Danio rerio: one gene and its partners. The protein of the gene in region 1 interacts with the protein of each later gene in a pairwise test. Links are inferred from orthologs where the notes say so. Each region holds a gene or a part of one and is shown on either strand. Other genes may lie near its edges.

The links.
Region 2: the proteins of creb3l1 (region 1) and fam3c interact in binary tests that used the Homo sapiens proteins (3 or more experiments, as listed by UniProt). The two-hybrid records come from large-scale screens. The link is inferred for Danio rerio from reciprocal best matches to the Homo sapiens genes CREB3L1 and FAM3C.
Region 3: the proteins of creb3l1 (region 1) and mfsd5 interact in binary tests that used the Homo sapiens proteins (3 or more experiments, as listed by UniProt). The two-hybrid records come from large-scale screens. The link is inferred for Danio rerio from reciprocal best matches to the Homo sapiens genes CREB3L1 and SLC61A1.
Region 4: the proteins of creb3l1 (region 1) and tspo interact in binary tests that used the Homo sapiens proteins (3 or more experiments, as listed by UniProt). The two-hybrid records come from large-scale screens. The link is inferred for Danio rerio from reciprocal best matches to the Homo sapiens genes CREB3L1 and TSPO.

What each region holds. Positions count from the first base shown.
Region 1 is NC_133182.1:39,150,569-39,156,108, forward strand, and holds part of creb3l1 (cyclic AMP-responsive element-binding protein 3-like protein 1), read left to right. Parts: intron 1-1,306; coding exon 1,307-1,415; coding exon of another isoform or gene 1,416-1,484; coding exon 1,485-1,506; intron 1,507-1,636; coding exon 1,637-1,786; intron 1,787-3,761; coding exon 3,762-3,820; intron 3,821-4,367; coding exon 4,368-4,436; intron 4,437-5,540.
Region 2 is NC_133179.1:20,695,140-20,699,379, reverse strand, and holds the end of fam3c (protein FAM3C precursor), read left to right. Parts: intron 1-1,039; coding exon 1,040-1,124; intron 1,125-1,208; coding exon 1,209-1,335; intron 1,336-1,414; coding exon 1,415-1,504; 3' UTR 1,505-2,925; downstream 2,926-4,240. UniProt on the Homo sapiens protein: May be involved in retinal laminar formation. Promotes epithelial to mesenchymal transition.
Region 3 is NC_133198.1:38,887,521-38,893,564, reverse strand, and holds mfsd5 (molybdate-anion transporter), read left to right. Parts: upstream 1-2,430; 5' UTR 2,431-2,488; exon of another isoform or gene 2,489-2,551; intron 2,552-2,727; 5' UTR 2,728-2,799; intron 2,800-2,906; 5' UTR 2,907-3,005; coding exon 3,006-4,451; 3' UTR 4,452-5,701; downstream 5,702-6,044. UniProt on the Homo sapiens protein: Mediates high-affinity intracellular uptake of the rare oligo-element molybdenum.
Region 4 is NC_133181.1:43,135,039-43,141,138, reverse strand, and holds the start of tspo (translocator protein), read left to right. Parts: upstream 1-2,094; 5' UTR 2,095-2,232; exon of another isoform or gene 2,233-2,733; intron 2,734-3,964; 5' UTR 3,965-3,965; coding exon 3,966-4,138; intron 4,139-4,265; coding exon 4,266-4,404; intron 4,405-6,100. UniProt on the Homo sapiens protein: Can bind protoporphyrin IX and may play a role in the transport of porphyrins and heme. Promotes the transport of cholesterol across mitochondrial membranes and may play a role in lipid metabolism, but its precise physiological role is controversial.

The DNA of each region.
Region 1 (5,540 bases):
TTTCTGTTCGGCTTAGTCCCTTTATTAATCTGGCGTCACCACTGTGGAATGATCAATAACATCAATAACATTTTCATTAAAAAAAAATTAATTTGGGGTATCACGGTGGTGCAGTTGGTATTACAAAATGAATGAATGTTATTTAGTTATCTGACATGCAATCAGCATCATGACTTCTGTCATCAGTGTCACACGATGCTTTGGAAAAAACATTGTAACGCACATTTGATGCACCCAAAAAGCGTCATTTTATTATTATTATTGTTTTTATTATGTTTTGCGAAAAATGTGATACATTTTGTAATGTTATTCTGATTAATAAAATGTTCAAAAATAGCTTAAACATTTTACCCTAAACTTGGTTACAGACAATGCAAATAATGTGCTGATTATGACATTAAACAGAACACTGCACTGGTATTGAATCAATAATGTTTGCTATTGTTGGTTCCAGAATTTTTTTAACAAACCTAAACTGATAATACTACATTTGCATGTTCAAATTAAACCCTGCTTTACCGCTCTACTACTAAAAACTCAAAGATAACTGTTACTTTCCCTAGTGTGATTGCTCCTGGACTGTTCTGTACATCATTTAATATGATAAATCTGCTAATGGCAAGCAACCTGTAACACCTGCAGGTGTTGTGTGTGTGCTGTCTGTCTGTCACTGCAGCATTCTTTCATCCTGCTCATCCAGAAACAACAGCTTTATTGCAATGCTGTGTGTATGCTGGGACACCGCCAGACCAAACACACAGCGAGTCCAACACTCACCACATTTAAAAGCATGCATGTGCTGTGTGCGAAATGACCAAAAGCTACCCAGTAGATTAGGTTTCATTGGCTTTTATCCTGGTGACAGGTGAATGGAGTTTCAGTTTTACACTTCAGCCTCAAAAGATTCATTGCCCTTTTTAACTTTGACTATTTTGTTTGAGTTTGCCATTGTATGTGTAGGCATAGAAAATTAAACCTGATTATTTAAAGGGGTGGTCTTCATTTACTCACCCTTGATTGACCAAATCAGAGTTTATGGTGTTCTGTTGAACAGAAAATAAGATATTTTAAAGAATGTTGGAAATCTGTAACCATTGACCGCCATAGTAATTTAATTTCTTTTGTGGAAGTGAAAGGTTAAAGATTTCCAACATTTTTCAAAATATCTTCTTTTTTGTTTAGTGATTTGAAACATGTCAAGATTAGGTAAATGATGATGGAATTTTAATTTTTGAGAAACTATCTCTTTAAGATGCTCAGGTTTTGTACTTTCAGCTGTATCAAGATTATCTGTGTGTCCCAACAGAAGAGCATTTGCGGTTGCCGCCAACTCCTCCCAGCAGCCATGGCAGCGACAGTGATGGATCCCAGAGCCCACATTCACTGCCACCATTAAGCCCTGGCCACCTGCAGAGCCCACATTCACTGCCACCCTCCAGCCCTGCCCGGCTACAGGCCCGGACCTCCACTGCTATCTCCTCATCCCCTCTCCTCACCGCCCCGCACGTGAGTGCTAATCAATGCGGCACATGACACACCACACTATATACACATATATTCCTAATGGAAATTTGCATACAGTTACGTCTTAAGCAGTTCTATTTAAAGTGAAACTCTGTCTTGTGTTGAAATGCAGAAGCTGCAGGGAACATCAGGCCCTTTGATGCTGACAGAGGAAGAAAAGAGGACTTTGATCGCTGAGGGATATCCTGTCCCCAACAAACTACCGCTCACCAAAACCGAAGAGAAAGCACTCAAACGGGTGCGCAGGAAAATCAAAAATAAGGTATTGATAATGATTACATACTATTAATATTGAAATAACTTGGTTATTAAAACAAGTCTCTTATTATATAAGTTTTGTGCATATACAGTTGAAGTCAGAATTATTAGCCCCCCTGTTTATTTTTTTCTCCAATTTCTGTTTAGCGGAGAGAAGATTTTTTCAGCACATTTCTAAACGTAATAGTTTTAATAACTCTTATCTAATAACTGATTGATTTTATCTTTGCCATGATGACAGTAAATAATATTTGACTAAATATTTTTTAAGACAATTCTATACAGCTTAAAGTGACATTTAAAGGCCTAACTAGGTTAATTAGGTGAACTAGACAGGTTAGAGTAATTAGGCAAGTTATATATAACGATGGTTTGTTCTGTAGACTATCGAAAAAAATTTGCTTAATGGGGCTAGTAATTAAAATGGATTTAAAAAATTAAAACTGCTTTTATTTTAGCCGAAATAAAACAAATAAGAATTTCTCCAGAAGAAAAAATATTATCAGACATACTGTGAAAATTTCCTGTATATGGAAATAATTTATGGATCAAAGAAAAAAATCCTACAGTACTTTTGATGTTAATATGAAATTTTATTTGGTTAATATATACATATAATTGTATATAAAATATTGAACACATGAAGAAATAGAGGTGGAAAAAGGAATGGAAAGCCCAGATAGCAGATGAATTCTCTCAGTAGTTAGTAGAAAGTCTATTGAAGTGTGAAAATCACACCTGAAGAATGCAAAATTCTCCAAAGCTACCACTAACAAAAAAGCCTTTTATGCAAAATATTCAATATATTTCAGTAGTTCATTACTTTCTCCTTTTGCCATTCCATGTTTTTACACATAACACTTTTTAAAGATTTTTTTTTGCATTACTTGTATGTTTGGGTGTTTTTAACATTTTTTAAACCAAAATCTGGGTCAATTTCATGTGAACAGCTCCTTTAGAAATATAAACAGTGAGCATAAACAAGTACACCCCTCACAGATCTCTCTTATGAATCAATTTTTTTCTAAAATATTTTTCTGAAACTTGAACAATTCTAACAAAAAAACTTAAGATTAGTCAAAATATTGGTACACCCAAATTAATATGTTAGAAATATATATACAGTGCTTAGCATATATAAGTACATATTTATATTTTCTAGGAAGCTGTACAATATTATATTTATGCAAATACATTAGATTAGTCAGTACTGAAGCCAAATCTTGGTTATTCAGGGATGGGTTACGGCTGAACGGGCATCCGCTGTGTAAAAACTTGCTGGATAAGTTGGCGGTTCATTCCGTTGTGGCGACCCCGGATTAATAAAGGCTAAAAAAAAGCTGAAAAGAAAATTAATGAATGAATGAATTTTCAAAAACAGAAACAAATCAAGATAAACAAAAAATGTATGCAATTTTGTTAAAATGTTGTTAGTTTGTAATTTTTTTTTTATATTTTGCATGAATTTATTGTATCATCATTCCATTTTTAAAGATGTTTGGTGACTAAAGTATTATTTTAACAAATGTATCTGTTTAATAAATCTGTTTTGTTTAAATGCACCAATATTACCCATATTCACAGATAAATGGATAAAAATATTCATTTTCAAAATGGAGTGTATTCATTTATGCTAAGCACTGTAAATAATATACAGAATAATATACAATTAAATTATTATATAGCATTTTTTTCCCACTAATTTGATTTTAAATTTATTAACTTTCTATTCCTAAGGATATTCAGTTACCAACTCTTATTTTAATTGATATAACTGTTTGATGAAACTGCTATTAATTCCTTAAAATATATTGTCTACATTCACTGAGAACTGCATAAAAGTATATTTATTTTCATTTATGCTGAGCACTGTATACCAAGTAAAATCATGAGCTGTTCAATACTTACTCTAGCCACTGTATTAATATATGAATAATATATTTACGCTCATTATAATATTTTTTACATTCTTTTCTTAGATCTCTGCACAGGAAAGCCGCAGGAAGAAGAAGGAATATGTGGAGTGTTTGGAGAAGAAGTAATTCCACTCTATTATCTCTCTCTCTCTCTTAAATGCTTTGTTCTCTACCTCTTTTCTCTCTCTCTCCTGCATTCTGACTGCTGTCCTTTTCTCCTCTGCTCTTATTTTCCCTTCCTCTCTTTTGCTTTGTTTATCCAACAGCATCCACTCTCTCTGTGCCTTCATCCTTCGTTCTCTTCGATGACCTCCTCTCCTTTAATCCTCTCGTCATTCTCACCCCAGCATACCCTCAAAATGCGCTATACCCTTCTAGCTGTTTTATGGCTTTTATTGTGTGAATATGGCCAATGGCTACAGTCCATGCACTCATTGGTGTATGTGTGTGTGTGTTTGCGCGCGTTTGCATGAGTCATTTTCCCTTTTGTGCTGCTGTTAGGCTCTCAGGGTTTGGATAATGTGCTGGAGAGACTGGACTCACACTGGACACACTCACACACTGGCTTTTCTTGCTTATATGTGGTCATACTTATGGAAACGTTTTTGTAAATGCATCTCAATGTGACCGTGCGCAATAACACACTCTTTCTCTTTTACTCCTCTTCAGAGTGGAGAACTACACTTCAGAGAACAATGAACTCTGGAAGAAAGTTGAGACGCTTGAAAATGCCAACAGGTGAGGAAGCACATGTGTGCTCGTGTTTAATCACGGCGAATACTTTATAGGTGGATTTTAATACATTTAAGTGTGGCTGTATTTGCGGTAAGTGTGCGGGTCTTTGCAGTCAGCAGGTGTTGTTAAGTTGATCCAGATGCGTGCAGGTCTTAACCTCCCCTTCCGATCATATAGAGCAGCACCTTTTCATTCTCTCCTGGGTGGCCTGCTTAGAGTATTGGCGCTGTCGACAGGCTGCTGTCTGTTCCTACTGTTTAGAGAGACAGAAGAGAGGGCACCGTGGGGGATTGGGTGTTATCAAAGTCAGCACTTTTTTTGTGGATTAACTGTAGCTCATTGGAGGCGAAAGCTCTTAAGGGGTAGTTCATTTAAAATGAAAAACGAAAAATCTGGAGGAATTTTTCTTCTTTTTTGGAACATAAAATTATGCTTAGTTATGTTTTAGATTTGTTTTATCTGTAGAATGAAAGATTGGGTGTTTTCTGAAGCTTGCTGACTTTCATATGTGACCCTGGACCACAAAAGCAGTCTTAAGTTCCACTGTAAGAAATCTTATGTGCTATTTACTTTAAAATATAATGGTAACACTATTGCCCGTGTTATTTTTAAGTAGTATCAAGACTTGATTTTCTTTTAGCAAAAAATACTTAAATCATGTGAAAATTACTACATTTTTGAGTGATAGATGATGATTTTAATATTATTAGTAGAATTTGTAATATAAGCAAATCAATCACCACTTACTCATATTTATTAATGAAAATTACTTATTCATAAATTGTCAAATATATATTTTATAATGAGATACTTACAAAATGCAGTTTTGCCAAATATCGTTTTATTACATGTTCCACTGATAACAGCAATGTTAAGCTTTGAAAAAAGTTCTTTATCCATATGATGGAAAAAAATGTTTTGTCTGGCTTTTCCTTTGTAGGAAAAGTCACATCTTAGACAAAATCTGACAGAAATTGTGTATTGCTGTATCTCAAAATGTTAGCAACATAATCAATCAATCAGTCAATGCAGTGAAATTTCTCCACAAGGTTGTAGTAGGGAATTTTTGTCAGAAACTTAATGTAAGTTTGTTTTTGGGTCATTTTA
Region 2 (4,240 bases), on another chromosome or scaffold:
TCCTTTATCTGTTTTCCTTTTGCACATTTTGCATTATAAGCTTTTTATTTTATTTATTTGTATTTTTTTTTAGCTTTTTTTGTTTAACCCTATAACTGTCAAATATCCTATAAGGTGACAGCATTTACACTATTAAAGTAACACAAACGTGTTTATGACTACCTGTGGTAGTGGTCAAAATTTGACATGATCAAAATGTGTCAGAGCCAATATAACATGTACTTGGAATAGTCCACCTGTGTTCGGATCAATGAAAATGCATTGTTATACCTTATAGGCTGTAAAAAAACATGGATGTGTGTGAAGAGCATTTTTGAACCGCCAAAGTGGGCAGAGCTAGCTGTCATCATCTTAGTAGCACATGAATTACTCCCAGATAATTAAAAATGGGACAAGATGCAGGACATTGGTGGAGTTAGAGATCCTAGGTTTAAATTCTTAATGTTTATTTACGTTATGTATAACTAATATTTACTGAGTTTGGTTTTTAAAAACACAATGTTAATACATTAAAACATGTTAAGTGTCATAATGGTTTTATAGAGAAAAACACCTTTTGAATAATTACTTTTAGATACTTTTAATATAGTCTGTATTAGTAAATAGGTTAGACTATTTATGAAATCAAAAAAGTCTGTGGTTTTATTATATGTTCTATCATTTATTTTGTTGCATCATGAAAAAGCTGCAATCTTGAATGTACATTTACTTTTTATTTAGCAATATTTTTATGTTGGACCGGTAATTATATGAATCTACAAAGTTTTGAGTAGATGTAAAAACAAAAAAAATGTATGCTTCTCTTGGTTTTTTCTGTTTATACAATTTTCATTTCATATTTTCACCCAACATATTAATTTGGGTGTACTAAATTTTGTGAGGGGTGTACTCATTTATGCTTTCTGGCATATGAGATGATAGCTTGTATAGTGATACTAGATTTTTTTCATATCACCCAGGGCTAGCCATTTGCTAGTCTGTGAAATGTAATATTAAGTCACATGCAGTTAATCTTTTTAAATGATCTTGTATTTTCTAGATGTAAATCTTCTCATCAAATTCTTGAAGGACATAGAAGATGGAAGCATTGTCATGATGGCCACATTTGACGACCCTGCAACAAAGTAAATTTTTTTTTTGGTGAAATCTTTACAGATCTGTCTGGGATCTTTTATTAAATGCATTTAATTTTAATTTGTTCTGAACAGGATGAATGACGAGGCCAGAAATTTGATAGCAGATTTGGGCAGTTCAAGCATCAGCATATTAGGCTTCCGAGATAACTGGGTGTTTGTTGGAGGCAAAGGAATCAAGACAAAGAGCCCCTTTGAGCAGGTAAAATCACCTTATGGCTTCTTTTTAGATTTAAATTTGGAGTAAAAAATATTTAATAAGCCATCGCATACTTTTCCAGCACATCAAGAACAATGCAGAGACTAACAAGTATGAAGGATGGCCAGAAGTTCTGGAGATGGAAGGATGCATTCCTATAAAGCATGACTGAAATCAACCTTATTTTAAAATAATTTAGCTGTTCCTGGTGGAGTTTGAAGAAAATTGAATGAGCAATGTGTTGTTGAATTGACATTTTCAATGATGCAAGTAAGTGTAGAATATAGACTTTGAAGGACTGTATCTTATATCTTAAGGTTAGAAGTCCTGAGCATTTGCTGCTCTCTATTTATATTTATTTTATGGGGTTCCCACTCCTTTTGATCAATGCATTTCTATTACTTTTCTGTTGTACATGATCCCTAGATTGAGATTTTTTTAATTAATTGCAAGTACAATATGTAGCCAGTGAAATATTTTAAAACTTAAATATAAAAAATTACGTTAACCAAAGCTATTTTAGTAACTTCAAAAATTGTTGTTTTTCCACCAATGGAAAACATTTCTAAAATGTCATGCTTGCGGAAAACCTGATTCATAGGTACTCTTTATTTTTAAAGCTGGTCCATAAACTGCCATTGTGCTGCCATTTGTGAACCTCCAGTGTCATAAAAAGAGATATAGGAATCAGAAGGTTTGAGTGCCTGTTGTCTTATAGTCTTTTGTACTACAAATAGAGAATTAAGGAAGAGGGTTTGTGCTCATTTTAATCATAGCACCATGACAATGTTGATCAGAATGGATTGAAGATACACGGCTTAGAGCTGTTGTTACCAAAAGATTGTTTTTACATTATTTATTATTTTATGTTTATCATACTGTTTCTACTGGCAAAGACAGTTTGAATGTTGAATGGTAGAGAATGAAGATTTTTTTTCCCCCACTTTGCATTTAATTTACAAGATTTTTTTTGTACTAAAAAACTACTGTCTTCAGTTTTTATAATAATTTTATTTTTAATAGCTTCAGGGAGTCTTGTTACATTTTGGTGATTTGCATTCAGAGATTTTTCGTTTGTCGTTTTATTCGGCCAAATTTTTTTTTTTTTTTTTTTTTTGCATTTTAAGAGTTTGAGCAGCAGCTGTTATATGCAGTTAGTGCTGATATTACACTATTATAATTTAATATAATCTTTTTTTTATTGTGCTTTATGCAATATCTGTAGTATGTCCTGTATTGTGAATTTACAAAGCCAAAAGATCACCTTGTTGTTAATATTGTTAATGATTGCCTGTATGATTTTTAACTTTACTTACACTGTGAAGTTGTGCATGATACATTTTTTTTGTAAGAAAACCAGCTGTGTGCCTTACTACAGTGATAATATATGCAAAGTGATTTTGTCTAGACTTTTGTGTGGAGTTGTTGATTGCACGTCATGGCCTTAATATGTATAGCTGTACTGAGGAGTTCTTTATTATAAATTAAATTTAAATCAAGTAAACTTTGCATTCTGTGATTGTAGAGTCTTTCCTTAAAATACGACTCAAGCTTTTTAGGGTGTTTCGTAATAAAACAAATGACTTGCTTTCATTTCTGGGTTTTGTCTTACCTTTTGTTTAGATTAAAGCAGAGAACTCCCAAGAATAATCCTAGCATCTGTTCTGCCTCATCAAAGCATGATGCACACATCCAAAATGGTACATGTGTTTATAAAAGAGTTTGCAGATTCCTGGAAGGCGTCCACTCGGCTCTCATTGGCCTAGGAAAAGTCCAGAGAAGGTTTCAAAGCACACAGCCGTGCAAGAAAAAGATTAATTTAGCTGACAGCTGAACTGATAAAGCTCATTTCACTCAATAACAGATTTATTCCATTCTGAAAATATCAAAATATATAGGTACTGATGTAGGCAACAACATAATGTACAGACACAGTCTATACAAATGTCAACGTGTTATTAGTTTAGATTTACTTTTATGCCATCAGTGAATACCATTTATTCTGACTAGTCACATGGGAAAATTATATCCATTCTTAATTTTGACTAAATTGAAGTGCTCTGAAACATGGCAATTTATATATCCTGCAGCATGTGTCCTCGTTTACCTATTCAAATCCAGCATCATTATAATGGCATGTGGATATATAGCCACTATTAAGAAGTGCATGAAACGAAGTGCCGTTTTATCCCTTATGAAAATCAACAATGGTTTTTACCACAAATTAAAACAAACAAAAACATGGTGACAACAAATTCAGCAGTTTAACCATGGCATTTTAGTCAAACTGTTTATAGAAATATTGATAAATACGCACAGGAAAAAAACACTACACTTTTAATAAAAACGATGGTTAATTTTCATAAGGGATTTCAGAGGGAGAAACATTTTGGAGCTGTAACGTTAAAAGTTTCAGGTTTGACTCTGTTTGTTCCTTTAATAATTTTAAGATGACAAAAAGCAAACATTTGTTATGCCACACAAAAACGTTGATATCCGTTATCGTCGACTACTGTAACGTTATATCACCTTGCGCAACGTACGTTATTGTGCTACTCAAGTAATCCACTGTCTGACATAATTATGTTGGCTTTAAACATGATACTCATTACACTTCAATGACATACTGTATCGAGTTTAAATTATCTTTACCTGAATTTCGCAAATATAACGTTGTAATAACGGACACAAGATGGCGCCAGCCAGGTGTGTTACTTTAATAAGTGCCTCCGGTTTCGATTGAACGTGCTTATGTACACCGCTGCTAAATGGAAACTGAGATTGGCCAATCAGAATCAAGTATTTCAGGTCGGCCTGAATTACGCGCTTATGTCGCTGATATTCTCGCTTAAAATTTAAATTAATACCAATAACAATGTAATAATAAAAATGTAAATGTTTGCACTCC
Region 3 (6,044 bases), on another chromosome or scaffold:
TTTCTCCAGAAGAAAAAATATCATAGGAAATACTGTAAAAAAATTCCTCTGTTAAACATAATTTGGGAATTATTTATTTATAAAAATAAATTCACAGAGGGGAGAACAATTTTGACATCAACTAATAATCGTTTTGAATAATCGTGATTACAATTATGACCAAAATAACCACAACCCACAATCGAACAGTCCTATATAAGACACAAAACTCTCTGGTCTGATGAGACTAACATTAAAACTCTTTGGAGTAAATGCCAGGCGTTACGTTTGGAGAAAACCAGGCACTGCTCATCACCAGGCTAATACCATCCCTACAGTGAAGCATGGTGGTGGCAGCATATTGCTGTTGGGATGTTTTTCAGCAGCAGGAACTGGAAGGCTAGTCAGAATAGAGGGAAAGATGAATGCAGCAATGTACAGAGACACCCTGAATAAAAACCTGCTTCAGAGTGCTCTTGACCTCAGACTGGGGTGACGGATCATCTTCCAGCAGGACAATGACCCAAAGCACACCTCCGAAATATCAATGGAGTGGCTTCACAACAACTCAGTAAATGTCCTTGAGTGGCCCAGCCAGAGCACAGACCTAAATCCTATTGAACAACCCTGGAGAGATCTAAAAATGGCTGTACACTGTCACTTCCCATCCAACCTGATAGAGCTTGAGAGGAACTGATAAGAGGAATGGGCAAACATTTGTGCAAGACAAGTGTGCAAAGCTTGTGGCATCCTATCAAAAAGACTTGAGGCTGTAATTGCTGCCAAAGGTGCATCAACAAAGTATTGAGCTAAGGCTGTGAATACTCCTGTACATGTGATTTTTCAGGTTTTTTATTTTTCATAAATTTGCAACAATTTCAAAAAGTCTTTTGTCACATTGTCATTATGGGGTATTGTGTGGAGAATTTTGAGGAAATAAATGAATTTAATCCATTTTGGAATAAGGCTGTAACATAAAAAAATGTAGAATAGCGCTATGAATACGTTCCGAATGAACTGTATATTGAATATGTTCCAACAATCAATGCATGCTTTATGCTCTCTAAAGATAATTTAAGTGGACAAACCATTTAGCTTGTCATGTATTTCCATGCAGACTTTATGTCAGGAGCTTCAGAATCATGTAGAAATAATTGTAAGTGGCCTGAAACTGTCAGTCAAACAGAATCGACTTTTATTTAGTACACTGGCAAGATGCTGTTTATTCTTTATTGACAAGCAGATTCAGCTTATACTGAACCATGCAGCTAAACAATTGTACTTTTTATGCTCTATTTGTAGAAGCAATAATATTTTAGTGATTCATTATTGCACAGCTGTGGTGCAGTTGTTAATATGGGAGTCATCAAAAATGTGATCCGTCTAACCCAGCTAGTTAGTTAAAAACGGTGGTGTGGTGACATCGCGTGGACACTCACGGTAGTAAAATAAACGAAGTCAACACAGGATTTTGAATTTAGTGTCAGTGCACTTCTTGTTTGAGAAGTCTCTTTTCTCGGCTTCCTACACTTTTTGCGTCAGCTAACAAGATCAAGCAATGTATCAGATGTATTTTACTTTAATCTTCATTAACAACGTTCACTTAAGTTACTTGCTCCACGGTGTCATTTCATCTGAGATGTTAGTGTCCGGTAGACTAAAGATAGATGTTCAACATGTTTGGAAAAAAACGGTAATGTCAGATAATTGCTAAGGCTAATCTTATAGCCAGCAGATGTACGATGTATCGTTTAACGTTCACAATAGACAATATTTCCACACTTGTTTTTTAATGTTTTGTCAAATCAAAATCTAAATATTTTGAAAACCCTTACCTGAATTTTAGTTTTCATCAGTGACATCTCATTCTCCACATTCATTTTTATGCTAACATGGTTGCTGTCTAGTCGATATATTTCGAAAAAACTTTATTTATGAAGTTAGCAAAATATTTCCAAATGGTTGACGATGATATAAACATTAAAATAGATTATTTTAGACGTTCGGAATTTTAGTAACATTTTGTTTGGCGTTTAATCGGAATATTTAATGGCTATTGTTGTTATTTTTATTCTTGTTTGTTGCTAGATCAGATACGGTTGCGGCTGGAAGATGAATATAATTATTTATATTGTTTATTAAATTTCCCATTGATTGTATTGCATTATTGCCTTCTATCACACTGGCATTATTTTGTTCTATTATCTTGTATCTGTCGTTTAAAGCATAACAAATGAATAACAATAATAAATACATGCCCTAATTAATATTCATACTGTTAGCCAATCCCTGATAAAAAAATATTTCTAAAAAAAAACTTCTTTCCTTCTGTTGCATAGCCAATCAGCGAGCCCCACCTTGTATACGTAATTAATATTAATAAGGCAAGCGCCTTACGTTTGTTTTGCGTCATGACGCCTGAGTAACCCGGAAACACACGCGGATGTTGTAGAACATATATTGCAGGCATTTAGATGAAAAAAGCGTCTGAATTCATGGCGTAGAAAAGGTATTTAATAATCCCAAATCAGCGGACAGTTTCTAAATTCCTTAGAAAAATGTTAAGAGTACGGTAGGTGTGTTTAAGAGTTTATCCACGCATTATAATTACGAATATTTGAGGCTTAAAGTCAAGTTCCATTTAAAAATCATTAATGTTTTTAAAGCGTTATTATTAAACCCATCATTTATGGGCGCAATACATACAGTATATGAGGTGTTGATAATTACAATGTGTCTTTTTTTCAGAAGTCAAGCTGACAGTCGCTCATGATGAGTCCAGAAGTGAGTTTATCCAACTGTCATGTGTCACGTGATGGTGTATGATCACTTTTTATAAAACATTACTTTTATTTAAAATATTTTGAAATTTTTAGCCGTTATATTTTCTTATATGTAATAATTTTGCTAATTTTGTGTTTTTGCAGATGAACCATTAATTTCACTGCACCAAAAGCTGTAGGAGGATGTTGATCTAGGATTTCTTCTGATTCCTCCACTCACCTTCAGACAGATTTGTGCCCATCATGTTTGTGACGGCATACCTAGCATTTATAGTCCTAGCAGGACTGTGTGTGGCTTTAGAGATCACAGCCCGGCGTCTCACCTTATCCCAGGCCACACAGACAGCAGTCGCCAATCCGGCTTTCCAGCGTTTCCAGAAGCTCTTTCTGAAGGCGTATCTCCTGGCTCTCTGGGCAGACTGGCTACAAGGGCCTTACCTTTACAAACTATACCGACATTACAACTTCTTGGAGTCACAGATTGCCATCCTATACGTCTGCGGTCTGGCTTCTTGTGTGCTGTTTGCCCCGGTGGCCGGATGGCTGCCACAGTTTCTCGGCCGAAGACAGACGTGCCTCCTCTTCTGCTTGGCTTATTCAGTGTGTTGCATCACCAAACTCTCACAAGACTATTTTATGCTCATTCTAGGACGTGTATTAGGCGGCCTGTCCACTTCTCTGCTAACAACCACCTTTGAGGCCTGGTATGTGCACGGTCACGTTGACATTCATGACTTCCCCAAAGAATGGATCCCTGTTACGTTTGGTAAAGTCGCCAATTGGAATTATGGACTTGCAGTTGGTGCTGGACTAGTGGCGAATTTGTTCGCAGAATGGCTTGGGTTGGGACCGGTCGCTCCATTTCTGTTGGCTATCCCGAGCCTTGCTGCTTGCGCCTGGTTTGTGCTTTCCGAATGGGGTCAGGAGGACAAACAAGAAGGCATGAATGGAGACAAAAACGCCCCCCTTCTTAACTCCCTAAACACCCCCAAGTTGCAATTGTCAGCACGTGCCCGTTTCTGGCGTAGCTGTGTGGATGGCCTTCGATGCCTGCTCTCGGACCGCCGTGTTATGCTTTTAGGAGGCGTTCAGGCACTTTTTGAAAGCGTGCTGTATATTTTTGTATTCCTGTGGACTCCTGTTTTGGATCCTCATGGCCCACCTTTAGGAATCGTATTCTCCAGTTTGATGGCGGCCACCATGGCGGGCTCCACACTTTTCCGATTGGCCACATCAGCCCCGTATCGACTCCAACCCGGTCATCTGCTCTGCCTAGCCATTCTTCTAGCGTTCTTCTCCTTCTTCATGCTGACGTTCTCCACCGTGCCTGGCCAGCCCCGGCCCAGGGAATCTCTGCTCGCTTTCCTTTTGCTGGAACTGGCTTGTGGGCTTTATTTCCCAGCGGTGAGTTTCCTCCAGGGTCGTGTGGTTCCCGTGGAGCGCAGAGCTGCAGTTTTGGCTTGGTTTCGTTTGCCTCTGCACCTCCTGGCCTGTCTGGGGCTGCTGGCGCTTCACGGGGAGGTTTCAGGGTCCGGTGCGGGAGAGGCTGGCAGCGGCACCAGGCACATGTTTGCAGGCTGTGCTGGGATGATGCTGGCTGCTCTGCTCGCCGTGATCAGCCTTTTCACTGTGGGCAGGAATGATGCCGACCTGAGATTAGAGGGCCCCAAACTGGAAGGAGAAATCTGAGTTGGACAGTGGATTATATATGGACTGTTGAAGTGAATCTATTCAATAGGATAGATCAGTGTTTCCCAACCCTGTTCCTGAAGGCACACCAAGACATTTTCAACCTCTTCCTATTCAAACACACCTGAATCAACTCATCAGAACATTAGAAGAAAACCTGAAATGAATGGGTCAGATAAGGCAGACAGCCAAAATATGAACTGTTGGGTTGCTTCCAGGAACAGGGTTGGGAAACACTGGGATAGACCTTTGAGATGAAACATCTCATTTTCAACGGCGTCCCTATGAAGTACATAAAAGAAAAAAGAAAAAAAGGAGTACAATACATCAAAACAAACAGAGATTGTGGAATGTGGTTTTATATACTTTGTTTCTTTCCTCATGCATTCTGTCTTGGTTAAACAATTGTATTTATGGGTAAATGCGAATGTTAATAGAACCAATAAACTCAAAATCGGATGTATTTCTAAAATGTGTTTAGGAATTAAATTGGGGCGCGATATGTTCAACAAGTCAGTGAGCCGGTGAGGGATCACAAACACACATCATGAAATACGTAGGGTTTTTTTTTTAATCCATACGGCATGCGGTATAAAATTCCATTAAAACTACACTCTTCCAGCAGTTCATACTCTCATCCAATATCTTGTTTTGACTTGGGGGGCATGCATGAAATGCTCCTGAATGAAAGTAAAAAAGTGGCAAACTGCAGTTAAAGTCGACAAATTAAAAATAAAACACTTGAGATTACATGAAACTCCAGAGGAAATGTTGGATAGTGAAGCAATGACATAAATCAAACTGTGCTATAACATGTAAAACAGAATCATGAAAGGAACATTCAAAACACAACTCATGTAAACACCTTAATCATTGTATTATCCTAGTTAGATTAAGACAAATAATTTGATTACTGATGCCCATGTAAACATTTATTTTAACACCAAGCCGATACCCTGGAGTAGATTCCCTATACAGTATGTATTGAACTGTGGCTACTGTTTGAGCTACAATTAAAGCACAGTGTGATTATTAAAACAATAGGCTATGCATTAGTAATAAATGCAATAAGACAGTTTTTTCATCCATCTCATGCTGCACACAGACCATACGGACAGGTTAAGGTAAGCATTTTCATTTATTGAAATAGATGGCAACTGAACAAATTAAGGCTCATGAACAAACATCTTAGAAAGCACTGTAAATAAATGCATATTTGAAAAATATAAAAATAAAAATTACAAAATAAATCTGTTGTGAAGTCTAATGACCACAGACATCAGTGTAACATTTCTCAATGTGTTCAGTTCATTTCCAGTCATTCCATTTTAGAGTAGGGGGTCTCCACTTATCACAGCTCGTAACAAACATTCCCAATGAGTGGATTTCTATATGGAATTTGAGAGAGAGAGGCCTTCGGATGTCAATCTCTTATGCTATAAAATACATTTTTGTTATAGTATTGAAAACGACTAACAGCAGTACATAAAATAAACGCATCTGCACAGTTGTATATGGCTTGTGTGAGGTGGTATAGAACTCATAAGTTACATATTTAAGTAATATCCTCAACATTAATGGTGCATCACAGTT
Region 4 (6,100 bases), on another chromosome or scaffold:
GAGACTCAACTTGACCATGGAAAGTAAGGAATACTTTTCCTACTTTTTTCTTAAACTCTGTAGTCCTGGCGAGGCATTGCATGTAGCGAGTCATAGAGTTTAAAAAAAAAAATCAGGCATAGCAGAGCTTTCAGCAGCAATTTCCCTCTATCACTTTTTGAGCTCCTGCAGAAGACAAAAGTTTCTATTGAAGAGGGGTCTGGATGCAGACCTAGTGCAGATGCAATGTGAGGTGCAGGAAGTGCTTTTTAATGGGCTCACCTTATAACCACCCCTCACAGTGACGTCACTAGCTCCATTGACTGATGCAATCTCAGCTTGCATCATAAAGTCTGCATGTTATTGACACTGTTTGGCACATCAACATTAATGTCAAGGCTCTTCTCCATCTCCTTGATGAAGGTGTTAAACACCTATACTAGTTTCAGTGGGCCAGTTTTTTTTTTAGATTTAGAGGGTCCCAGATCTAAACAAAAAAAATCCCAATCTTCAACATTTATGTAAAGAGAATACTTTTAGGTGTAATAACACCACATGGGGTCTCAGTCGCTTCAGACCATGGAAGGCTGGAGCTTTGGCTGGTAGAGGCCACTGTATAGAGTAATTCTGGGAGGGACGACGTGAAAATGAAGCTGGTCATGGAGGTGCCAGTAAGACATTTGGGGTCATGATGCGTCCTTAAAAAAAAACATAAAAACATTATGTTTTTACACATAGAAAGTCTTAAAATAACATTTAAACATATCATGTAATGCTAAGAAACAAATGAAAATGTAATAAACTTAAGAAATAAGTGTTACTAAGTGTTATCAAAAAATCTTAAGCAGGAAATACTCTTCTCCTATGATTCAGGTAATACATTGTGAATCTGCCACTACAGTATGTTGACACACATGCATTAAGCTCCACATCCTTTTGAAAAGAGCCCAATCTCTTTTGAATTTAAAGCAACAGTCACCAAAATGACCAAATTTGGTTCAAAGTCTATAGGGGGCAGTTTCTAAAAGTTAAAAAAAAAAACTTATTTTAGAATTATTTTATTTATTATTATTTTAATTATTAAATTATGCATATATTTTCCATTTTGTAAAAAGAAGCACAATAGGTCCCCTTTAATTGACAGTTTCAGCTATAGTTTGATTCCAAATGCTGTATCATCTTAAAACAATTATTCACTGAATATTTCAATTCATAAATACATTGCAATCTAAAATGTAAAAAGTATGAATAAAATGAAAATGTAATGTAAAATATAAAGTAGTAAAATATAAAAAAGGATAAAAAAAATAATTAATGTAATACAGCTTTTCCCCAAAAGGTTTATTTTTGTTTACTACTTAATTTATGAACAAAATAATGCTTACATCTTTACACAATCACTAAAATGTCATTCATTATAAGTAGTTTCCATAGTTTAAAAATATTGTCTGACATATTTCAAAGAATAATCAAAATTAATTAATAATAAGTGCAGATTGCAGCCCCATTTTATATCTTCATTATTTGCCACTATCCTAATTTTAGCCAATTTTATTCATTAAACACTTATTATTTTGATACTGCTGAACAAAAACGTTCTCTTCCCTCACTGAATAACATGTCACTAATATTTTACTCTTATTGCACTAGTTGGGGACAGTCTGTACATTATATGATACCTGAAATAAATACAGGGTTTTTCTACAGAAGCTGTCAGTTGAATGTTAGCCTACAGAGGGAGTCATCTTCATAGTGTGCTTCATATTGTGCATAGTGTACGTTTCCTTATGCTCATTATCTAACTGTAAAAGATACAAAAATCCTTCATGCATAACCCAAAAGAAATGTTAACAAACATTTATATCTTTAGTGTTCTGGTTGTGATCATGTTGGCAGCTCTTTATTGCCTGCTGTTACATCTGACACATATCTCAGCTCATTTATAGTGGTGAAAAATATCACCTGATCCATCGCTGCGCCGCGCTGATCGTCTTGAACACAAATTACTACAGTACAGTACAGTACAGTACTATGCTGAGTGATCGTTTCACAACACGAGGAAGCGGCAGATGTTTACGCTCCTCTCCTTATTGGCCAGAGAGTCCGAGCATTGTTTCTACAGCAGCACAGAGCTACACGCCCACTGGCTGTTACACAAACTTATATCAGGATTTCAAGATCACTCCGGTCATAGAAGGCTGTCCAAACCGGTCTCTTCTTCACATCGAGCAGCTTCACGACTCTCCAGTTGAGGTAAAAAAGATTACGCTGTGAAAAAATCGATTAATTTGAATTATCTGACTGGCCAGGCGTAGTATTTGTAAACAAAACGCCACCAGCTGTCTGTCGCGCGCGTTAAGTAATGTAACGATAAGCGCGTGACTAACATTTGCGACCAATTCATGCAGTTTAATATCCCTTGCACGAAATATAAAATGTCTGTATTGGGTTATATGTAACATTTCTCGTCAAGCTCTACACATGTACTCAGGTTTCGTTTACATTTACACGTTTTGGGTCCATGCGCAGAATCGCTCCCACTTGAGGGACAAACTGAACTGGCTGTCAACCAAAAGTTTTTCATGTTTGCTAAAAGTTCATTCAAGATAATTTAAGATAAAGCATTTCGAATTGGATTGTGAGCAGTAGTTTGGTAGTTTTTGTGCTATTTGTATTTCTATTTTAAATGATTGTTTTATTTTAAGTTCATTGTTTTGTAGTTCATTTATATTGGACTTTTTGTTCATCACGGTTTTTATTATTTTAATTACAAATATTAATCTATTTTTATTTATTTTAAATATTATTTTAAAAAAGACAATTTTATTGTTTTTAATTTTCAGTTTTTTGTGCCATTTTAGGGTTGTTGTCTTTTTTGTTATTTTTTATTATTTTAATGAGGCAATATTTATAATGGCTGTTTTTTGTTTAATTATGTTCATTTATTTATTGATTGATTTCAGTTTTAATTTTAGTTTTGGTTATTATAGATTTAGGTCAAACTAAATAAAAATGTCCTCGGAAATAATCTGCAATAGAATCTCCCAATTAATGTACACTGTAAAAAAATGCAGGGTTACACACAATTATTTCATATTGTCCCAGCACAAATTAAGTTAAATTAACACATTTAAAAAATTTATTTGGATTGAACATAAATAAATTAAGTTGTCCCAATGAAATAGTGTTGTTTTAGCTTATTATAATTAAGTAGTTTGAACGAGCAAAAATATATATTTTTTGAGTGTATGATCGCATTTATTGTTAATAAGTAGAAGTGAGTTGTACTTATTATTGTGCTGCAAATGAAATGAACCCTCAGCTACTGTTGGCCTCCTTGCTGGGTAGATAAGCTGTCAGACTTAAAAGTTACATGGAGAAGGAGGTGCAGAGCAACCATTCCAAACCAGTTACAGTTGAAGTCAGAATTATTAGCTCCTTATTGAATTTTCTTTTCTTTTTTAAATATTTCTCAAATTATGTTTAAAAGAGCAAGGAAATTTTCACAGTATGTCTGATAATATTTTTTCTTCTGGAGAAAGTCTTATTTATTTTATTTCGGCTAGAATAAAGGCAGTTTTTTAATTTTTTAAAACCCATTTAAAGGTCAAATTAGCCCCCTTTAAGCTACTTTGTTTTCGATAGTGTAAAGAACAGACCATCATTATACAATAACTTGCCTAATTACCCTAACCTGCCTAGTTAACCTAATTAACCTAGTTAAGCCTTCCAATGTCCCTTTAAGCTGTATAGAAGTGGGTTGAAAAATATCAAGCAAAATATTATGTACTCTCATCATGGCAAAAATAAAATAAATCAGTTATTAGATATGAGTTATCAAAACTAATATGTTTAGAAATTTGTTGAAAAAATCTCTGTTAAACAGAAATTAGGGAAAAAAATAAATAGGGGGACTTCAACTGTATATAATATACATACACAGGCAGTTGCTCAGAATCCTTAATTTACCTGTTTGTATTGAAAGGATGTGGATTCCTATGCTGAGCCTGACTGCCCTCCCTCACGTTGGTGGGATATTTGGAGGTATAATCACACGGCGGGAGGTTAAGACCTGGTACTCCACGCTCAATAAACCCTCATGGAGACCACCGAATGCTGCCTTCCCAGTGGTGTGGACCACCCTTTACACTGGCATGGGGTACGTTCAAACAGTAGGCATTCACTCTGCATGCTACACTTTAGAAACTTTAAAGGAAGTTGTAGATAAGTTAATAACTGACTAGTTACTGCAGATTAAGTAAACAGTTTTCCATCTTTTTTTAAAGGTACGGCTCATACCTTGTGTGGAAAGAGCTTGGAGGCTTCACCCAGGATGCAATGGTGCCATTGGGGCTTTATGGGCTGCAGTTGGCACTTAACTGGGCCTGGACCCCCATCTTCTTCGGTGCACACAAAATTCAACTGGTGAGACATTATTCTGAGACTCTGAAATTGTATTATAAAATGCTGCATTCCACACAATTACTTCATGTTGTCCCAACACAAATTAATTAATTTTTATATATATGTGGATTGTATGTGGATTGAACAATAAACAAATCAGTGTCCTAAAACAAACATAAGAATTGTGTTAACAGCAAAAACAATCCCAAGGCACTCGAAAAAATGTGGACAAAGTATTAAAGAGCCTTGATTATCATGTCTATTCTTTAAAACTGTACCTATGTGTTTCAGCAAACTCCTGCCATCATCAGAGTGGCAAGTGTTTGCTGAAAGGTGTAGGCGCAGTTTTAAGGAATAGCCATGTCAATATAGGCTCTTTAATACTTTGTCCACATTTTTCGAGTGCCTTGAACTTACTTTTGCTGTTTATCTTGGTGAATCCCTTATTCAAAGAGCACCAACACAATAATTAAGCTACCCCTGAGCACTTTTTGTTTGATTTTGGCTAAGAATGGTGTTGTTTCAACTTATTTTATCTTAAAAAAGTACTTTGAACTAGCAACAAAAGTCCATTTTTTCAGTGTATTTCAAGTTAAAATATGGAGCAACTTTTTAAAAGTTAAACCAGGAACCTGTTTCTCCACATATAGTACTAATGAGATCTTATCAGACTCAAAAAAGGAGGGAATATTATGCAGTTTTTAACATGACAATGGTATTTTGGAAGCCTGAAAATGCAAAAAATGTGTGTTCAAAGTGCACTTTATTTCATCGCTGCAAACTACTAGTGATTTTGTGAATATGCTGACATCATGTGGGTGTGTACTACGTGTTCAATCTTGCACATGTACTATAAAAAGCTGTCCGAAATCACAAATGTTCACGACTGTTCAAAAAGTATGTTATATATAGTATAAATGCGAGAACAGTGGAATTCAGATGTACTACATCCACAATTTATCAATACTTCTTGAGTACTGTTTTTTTAAATACTATGAATTTGGACACACTATGTTGGCTCACATGCTGTTTTTCACATACTATATAGTAGGGAAGTGTGCAACTTCAGATGCACCCGTAGTGTTTCTTTTAGGAGTGACATCATAAACTAGTGGCCTGCAATGCTCATTACGATTTTGTGTTGACAGGGAATCTTTTGACTATAGAGAGTCAAAGCTTTTCAAAAAAGCATTCATCTTTCAGGTACATTGTCATGGTAAAAATATAAAGATAATCACAATTAAAAATGAAAATTCAGTCATTGTTTAGTTAGGATAATTCTTCTCTGCAACACAAAATAATATATTTTGAAGAATGTCGGTGACTGTTTCAATTCGCAATGACATAAGCTTTCTCCATTCAATGATTAAAGCAACTTTTTCATCACACATTCAAGAGACAAATATCACTGCCTGGCAAAGTAGCACAATAGATTAATAATAAAATTCTTTACATTTATTATTTAAAATAATTCATGCAATAAGCCAGGGGTGTCCAAACTTGGTGCTGGAGAGCCGGTGTCCTGCAAAGATTAGTTACAACCCCAATCAGACTCACCTGGGCTACCTAATCAAGCTCTTACTAGGCTTTCTAGAAATATCCTTGGAGGTGTGTTAAGGCAAGTTGGAGATAAGGCCCTCCAGGACTGAGTTTGGACGTCCCTGCAATAAGCCAATCCATTTTAGAACTTTTTTCCCCGTTCTTATCAAATATTCCA